Macaca fascicularis: one gene and its partner. The protein of the gene in region 1 purifies or fractionates together with the protein of each later gene. This does not show direct contact. Links are inferred from orthologs where the notes say so. Each region holds a gene or a part of one and is shown in the gene's direction. Other genes may lie near its edges.

Region 1 (4,035 bases):
TTCCTAAAGGGAGAATTTCATTGTAAACGAGAATCTTCAATTGCTTTTCTTGGCGTCTGAGTTGTCTCTTTTTACCTTCCTTTTATGTAGGAAAGGCTTCTGTGTGCACTGTCACCTGAAGTTTACCGGAGAGTCACTCATCCAAAAACATGTGTTTACCATACTTAAAAGTGTTATCGCTAGGATCTTATTAGAACTCCCCTGGAGACAGGGACACTTTAATTAAATGTTGCAAACATCTATGGAGCCTTACCGTACTCACATTATTTTGCGAGGTGCTGGTACGAATACAGAAATGGATATGATAAAGGCAACGTTCCAGTGTGTGCACTGTGGTGGAGAAAATAAATAAAATCTTTGCCTTGTTGAAGGCATCCCATTAATTAAAGAGATAACATTTTCCCCAGAACTAGTTACCTGTTTAAGTTTGGGTCCCACACAAAAACCGATAAATAGATAGCAGATCTATCTTCTGGTATCTAATATCTATCTCTCATATCCCTCCCTCCCTCCCTCCCTCCCTCCCTCCATCCATCCCTCCATCCATCCATCGGGTCCCACACAAAAACCGATAGATAGCAGAGCTATCTTCTGGTATCTAATATCTATCTATCTATCTATCTATCTAGTATCTAATTATCTATCTATCTATCTATCTATCCATCCATCCATCCATCCACCCATCTATCCATCTATCATCCATCTGTTTATCTCAGAAAGCAGAGGTAGGGTATGAAGAAGAGATGGGACAATACAGTACAAAGTCCTCCCCTCCAGCCAAGTTTTTCAAACTCCTTGTCCATACAACATTGATGACCCTAACTTCAGCTCTTTACACATTTCTTTTCCCCGTGAGGCTGAGCTGCTTGAGGGCAGGTCACGTCTTTCCACTACCCTCCTTGCCGGCACCTACGGCTTCCTAATGGAGACCCTACAGGTAACCCACGTGAGCGCGTACTCCGCGGCAGACACGCCCAGGCGGGCTTTACTCACATCCAATCACTTAGTACGCACACTCCCTCCAGCCAATGAGCGAATACGTACTCCTTTCTCCACCTCCCGCCGGGCGGCCACCGCCCCCTCAGCCTCTGGTCGTCCCGTCACCGCCCCAGGTTGCCCCGCCCTGCTCCGCCCTCTCACCGCCGCGTGCTCGAGGAGCGAGTCGCGCGCCACTGACGTCACCAGCACGCGCCCCGTCTGCAGCAGTCAGCCTGCGAGGGAGTTACGCTGGTCCTGATTCTCGTGGAGTTTCCTGCCCGCCCAGTGGCCGCAGTCACCCAGGTCCAGAGGCCGCGGTATCACAGGCTCTCCGACATGTCTATGCTGGCTGAGCGTGAGTGTCAGAAGCAGAGGCCCGACCCGGGCGCGTCGGTGAAGATGCTGGGTGACCCGCACGGCAGTCCCAAGTGACTGGGAGCGCGGGTTCCAGGCGCGCCTGGCGCATGGGGTCGGGGGACCGGGGAGCCGAGCCTGGCTCTGCTTGTCCTGCTCGCCGCAGAGCTCCCCGAAAGTTGGCCGCGGGTCTGCTAGTGAGAAAGACCGCGAGTGTCTCCCGGAGACGCCTTCCTCACAGTCACCCTGGGGCGCGCGCGAAGTGGGTCAGAACACCGGGTCCCGCGACTGGCCCCGCCGCCGCCCTTTGTGGGGACCCGGACTGGTTGCTTCACTGCCCCCGGACCTCAGCTTCCTCAGGTTAAAAAGAGAAGGTTGAGCAGAAGGATCACTTCGAACTGTAATCACATTGTCCAAGATGTCTTGGACCCAGAAAAAGAAAAGCAAAGGAGTTAGAAGTCTCAAATATGGGACGTCAGCCACTTAGCGGGGGAGTAGTGCAGGGCTAATGCGTAATTCTAAATGAGATCGGCGTTTTTGATCTTGTTGGCCACAGCGCCCGGTCCTGCCTGTTTACCTTTGACATTTACCTTCACTTTGTGGAGCGGGTGAAACCCCTGTCTCTGGAGAGGCTGCTGAACTTCTGAATTGTGCCTGCAGCTAAGGTCGCTTGCCACCAGATGGCAGTCGTGCTTTGATCCTGAAAAGCGGGTCCTTCTTGTGAGTTGTATAGTGAGCAATGAACAGAAACAGCTTATTTAACAGATCAACCAGACCAGCACAGAGATTTTGTGAAATAAATGCTGTTAGCACTCTTTTCTAAGAGGATGGAGGACTAGGAGCACAAAACAAAATGGGTCAGTCATCATCCCGGTTTTACAGGGGCAGAAATTGACGTTCAAAGGAAAATAATTTGCCCCTAGTCATTGAGCTAGAAAATGGCAAAATTGATCCAGTTATCTCTGTATCTTTATATTCTTGCCAGTAAGACCAGCGGAGACCCATAGAAATGAGTATGTTTTAGACTGAACCCGTGGGTTCTATTTTTTCACCAGTAAAAAATCAGGAGTCAGGGTTAGAGCCTAGATAGCTAAGATCTCTTCTGGTTTTCGTATTTGATGTTTGCTCAATTCAGCATGCACTTGGCGACTTTGGCCCTAATTCTGCTATTCATTTATGTCTGTTCCTTTGATCGGTGTTTGTGAGGCCACTAAAATCTTCTCTTACTATCTTTATCTCCAGGTGGCCTTAAATCAATGAGATGGTGAACATGAACATAGTAGGAAAAATCTGTAGAGGTGTAAAATACTATTTGTAGACATCCGTAATTCAGATTGCATGATTTCAAGAGAGTGTTTTCAGTTCTCCTTTCCCAACGTTATTCCAAATTGTCAAATCCTTGTCATTATAATATGTAACATTTTGTGTTTTTTTTTTCTCCATAATTTGCCAAATGGGTATAGCATCTTCTGTAATTAGATATTTAGGATTGGTGTTGTTAAGAAGAAAAACCTTAGACAAATTAAACAGTTTGATTGAGCAAAGAATGATTCAAGAACTAGGCAACCTTCAGAACTAGAACAGGTTATAAGAACTCCAAGCCTATGCTGTCAGGCAGTATTTATGGACAGTAAACGTAAGTGAGGTACCGAGACAACTTGGTTAGGGTTACCGCTCTGATTTGCCTTATTTGAATCAGCTGGCTGCCTGTGATTGATGCTCAGCTGCTGTAAAGGATTGAGACTCAGTTATATGTTACAAGAGTGTACTCCTACGATAGGCTTTCGCTTCGCTTAAGTTCTAACGTAGGTTGTAGTTCCTTACGTAAGGACTCAAGTACGGAGGCCTCCTCAGGCCAAATTTAGTATAATAATTCGCTCCTTCTGATCAACCTCTGAATTTTGAGAGATTGTTTAAAACTTTTGCTCCTGGCTCTTGGGACTCAACACGCCCTTTAGAGTAAATGGGATTCTAGCATAAGTCATGTGGCATTGAGCTGTTGTGTGGATGGTTTTTATTGGATTTGCCCAAAAGTATCCCGACAGATCCATTTACAGTTAGATCTCCACATAGGAGTAGCTGCTAGAGGATGGTTAAATACATCCCAAATAGTGATTCTGCAGATTTAGGGCATTCTACCTGAAGTCCAGCGCCATGCTGTAAACACTGCTATTCCAGATCGTGTCAAGGGTCCTCAAGATCATCCCGAGATTCAGCGATGTGCTGGGGGATTCAGGCACAGGACTCAGCATGTAGTCGCACTCACTGCTAAGATTATTATAGCAAAAGGATGCAGAACAAAGCCGGCAGAAGGAAAAGATGCATGGGACAAAGTCCAGAGTAAGGCAGGCATCAAGCTTCCAGAGCCCTCCCCCAGGGAGTCACACATGACACGCTTAATTCCTCCAGTAGTGAGTTCTGACAGCAAATGTGGAATGTTGCCCACCAGGGAAGCTAGAGAGACTCAGTGCCAGGGATTTCCTGGGGGCTGGGCACATAGACACCCTCTACCTGGCAGGCCCCAAAATTCCAGGCTCCTAGAAGGAAAGCAGGCATTCAGCATAAACCATATCATTTGTGTAAACAGGAACAATGAGCCACTCTTATCAGTTCTGCGAATGGTAGGAACCCTTGGGTTCCCTGTTATAAACAGGCCTTTCAAAGGATAGCAGTCAGGCCTGCTCTGTTAGTGAACAAAGCTGA
Region 2 (3,568 bases), on another chromosome or scaffold:
CCGAGATGGGTGGATCACTTGAGGCCAGGAGTTTGAGACCAACCTAGCCAACATAGTGAAACTCCGTTTCTACTTAAAAAGTACAAAAATTAGCCTGGCATGGTGGCGCACGCCTGTAGTCTCAGCTATGCGGGAGGCTGAGGCAGGAGAATCACTGAGGCTCAGGAGAGGTTGAGAATCATTGAGAATCAGGAGAGGTTGCAGTGAGCTGAGATCACACCACTGTACTCCAGCCTGGGCAACAGAGCGAGACTTCACCTTAAAAAAAGGCAAAAAGTATCAGCATTCCAAAACCATGGTGGACAGGTGCTTTTTATTCTGTCCTTCAATAATATCCACTGGTGCTGTGCTAGAGGCCGGAACTGGGGGTGCCTTCCTCTAAAAGGCACGGCTTCATGGGAAGAGAAATAAGGGATTTTTAAATCCCTTACTGGATGATTGTTAAACCAGTGGTTTAAACTGGGGTCCTGTCATTCTGAGTTAACAGTCCGGATCTGGACTTTGCCTCTTTCCAGAATGCTCCCTGGGGTTTGCTTAACAGGGAAGCAGCAGGTGCGGACACCCTCATGTTGGGGGAGTGGCAGGTGTAGATGCCCTCGTGCATGGTGCCCAGCACATCCCTGCTGCAGCTCCCTCCCCACCAGGACACCGGTCCCCTGTGCTCCCCACAGTCCCTGTTTCCCCCTCCCAGCCTCACCTGATCCTGGCCTCTGCTGGCTTTGTCTGGGTGATTTGCAGATTTCCTGGGCTCCCGGCACCTCCTTGCCTCTCCCTAGGCGCCTCTGCAGCACTGGCCATACCATCAGCCGTGAACTGTCCACTGTTTATTTTGCTCCCCATGAAATGTATTTTTTAGGACAGGCACCCCTGGTTCCGGCCTATGGCACAGCATCAGTGAATGTTACTGAAGGACAAAGCAGACAGACAAACGAATCAGGAAAATGGGTTCTCTCTGAACACATTGCAAAGCCACAAAGGCTAGTGCAGGATGGGTGGGCATCAGGTCGTCAGATGTGGGTTCAATGCCAGAATATTCTGTGCTCCCAAAGGCCACTTGGTCAGAGTGCCTGCTTGCAGAGGTGGTTGTAAAAGCTCAGCAGTAGAGGCAGTGGTTCGCCGCACTCGGGGTGAACACACGTCCTCTGTGTCTGAAGCATACAAAGGCTTGAAGGGCATCTGGGAGAAGAAAACAGGCAAGATGATTAAGAAAAGTGAAAAAGGAAGAGTGTTAAGATGGGAATTTTCTTGTCCAGATTTTAGTCTCCCAAACCACAGCTTAGATGGCAGAATGTGGTGAGAAGTGATGGACAGTACAATAGAACAAAACGGAAGCCCTACCTCTCAGAAACGTGTGTTAAATGTGGCATGTGGCACAGCTGACGGAAAAGAGAGTGTGTGTTTAATTTTGTTTTCTGAGAAAACTGACTGGAAGCAAATAAGTTGTGTCTTTACAACATGTACCAGAGCAGATTCTAGGTAGAAGAGGAATGACGTGCAAACAACAGCAGCAACAGAAACAAAACGGAAGACTCAAAGGGAAGGGAGGTGAACGTTCCCTGATTTGGTGTTGGGGAAGGACACGGAGGGAGGTAGATGAAACCAGTGAGGCAACAGCTATTGCTTTCACGCAGAGGAACTCAGCTTGCCTGAGCCGCAGTGAAAATGGCTGTTCCCTGGAGCATTTGTGCACATGATTTATTTAAGGCACTCTGTGAGGTCCTGCACATTCATCCTCTCACTTTGTTCTCCTAACCACCTGAGAGGTAGATGAAGAAGGCCTCCAGGGTAGCACCCAGCTGGCAAGGGGCGTGTGTGATTGCAGCCTGGCCTGCTGCTCTGGGGCCCTTGCTCCGCCTGAGGACCCCACACAGGTCAGACCCACAGGCTCGGGGCTAGCCGGAGCCCAAGGTTGTGTTGGTGACAACTGTGAAGGAAGAAATGGACATCTGATGCACACTTGGGAAGGTTCTACCAGCAGCATCAAAGAAATGCGTGTGAAACTGACAGCGAGACCCGTCCTTTGTGCTGGCTCCTTTTCTGGGCTTCCCAAGAGCCAGCATCAGGGTGAGGCAAGTTGGAAAGACTTTTCTGGAAAGCAGCTTGTTTGCATGGAAGTCCTTACAATGTCCTGTGTTTTCCCAGTAATTCCACTTCTGAAGTGACCAGACATTATCACGGGTCTTATTTCCCATTTCCAGTGCTCCAGGTATGGGGGAGGGGGGGATTGCCACAGCAAGTCGCCAACCCGCCCAAATCCAGGGCTAAGCAGATACTATGTATCACAAAACTTAACTCTGCTGTTAGACATGTTTTCAAAGAATTTTTGAAGAATGTTTAATGGCACAAAACGTTTATTTCAATGTAGCAGTGTTCAAAGCTGGATGTAAAAGAACGCAGCCCAGGGAGCCCGCTGTGGATGTCACGTGTGTTCGTCTTTGGACACGGATGTACACGGGCAGTGAGTGGTGGCAGGGCCCTAGAGGACGTCGGTGGGATGCCTCCATCCTGCCCCTCTGGAGATACCCTGTGTGTGCCACGTGCACTCACTGGAGCCCTCTTTAGCTGGCGCCACCTGGCTCTTCCATCCATGAGATTCAAACACAGTGAGATTCCCCATGCCCGACTCAGTGTTCTCCCACAGAGAAGCTGAGTCACACCCGTGTCCGCTCGAGGGACGCCTGGGAGTCAGGGCTCCATAGTTTATTATGTATTTTTGGCCGAGTTATGTGCAGATCTCATCAGGGCAGATGATGAGTGCACACACACGGCCGTGCAAGGCTTGGATACACTCAACATCACTAGCCACGTCCTGGTGGAGTCTGGCCATGCAGGGTCCGGATGGCGTGTAGCGTTTTGAGTCCACGGAGAGAGCACCCGACTCCCTCAGGCTACAGCGCGTGCCCCAGGCAGGACAAGGAAGCAGGAGGAAGGCAGGAGGCTCTTTGGAGCAAGCTTTGCAGGAGGGGGCTGGGTGTGGGGCAGGCACCCGTGTCTGACGTCCCCCCTGTGTCTCAGCTACGCCCGGACCTCCATCAGAGCCAGTCTCACCTTCAACCGTGGCTTCAAGGCCGGGAGGAACATGCGTCGCAAACTCTTTGGGGTCTTGCGGCTGAAGTGTCACAGCCTGTTTCTGGATTTGCAGGTGAGCAGGCTGACGGTCAGCACAGAGTTCAGAGTTCGAGAGGCATGTGTGTTACTGTGTGCACGCATGTGTACGTGTGTGTGTGCGTGCCTGCAAGGCTGACGGTGACTGGCTGCACATAAGAGTGCACATGTGCGCAGATGCACGCGAGCCATACGTGTGTGTGTACATGAAGGCATGGCAGTGTGTGCACAGGTGTGCAAGGGCACAAGTATGAATGTGCACATGCAAATGCATACCTGATGTGCATGTGTGTTCATGTGCATTCGTGTGGGATTCATGTGAGGTGCATGCGTGTGGGTGTGCGGTGTGAGTAGCATGTGTGCACATAACCTGTATCAAGGGCCCCTCATGTTCACCCTGCTAGGTCCTCAGCACCAGCGCCCCTCCTTACAGGGTGAGATGGGGTGGATCCCCACAGGAGAG

The links. Proteins that work in one complex are often made in the same cells at the same time.
Region 2: the proteins of PINX1 (region 1) and TERT purify together in Homo sapiens (co-immunoprecipitation; 3 studies listed by BioGRID and IntAct, with this or other methods). This does not show direct contact. The link is inferred for Macaca fascicularis from reciprocal best matches to the Homo sapiens genes PINX1 and TERT.

Annotation. Positions count from the first base shown.
Region 1 is NC_088382.1:10,071,980-10,076,014, forward strand, and holds the start of PINX1 (PIN2/TERF1-interacting telomerase inhibitor 1), read left to right. Parts: upstream 1-1,177; 5' UTR 1,178-1,314; coding exon 1,315-1,333; intron 1,334-4,035. UniProt on the Homo sapiens protein: Microtubule-binding protein essential for faithful chromosome segregation. Mediates TRF1 and TERT accumulation in nucleolus and enhances TRF1 binding to telomeres. Inhibits telomerase activity. May inhibit cell proliferation and act as tumor suppressor.
Region 2 is NC_088380.1:1,609,540-1,613,107, reverse strand, and holds part of TERT (telomerase reverse transcriptase), read left to right. Parts: intron 1-3,015; coding exon 3,016-3,142; intron 3,143-3,568. UniProt on the Homo sapiens protein: Telomerase is a ribonucleoprotein enzyme essential for the replication of chromosome termini in most eukaryotes. Active in progenitor and cancer cells. Inactive, or very low activity, in normal somatic cells.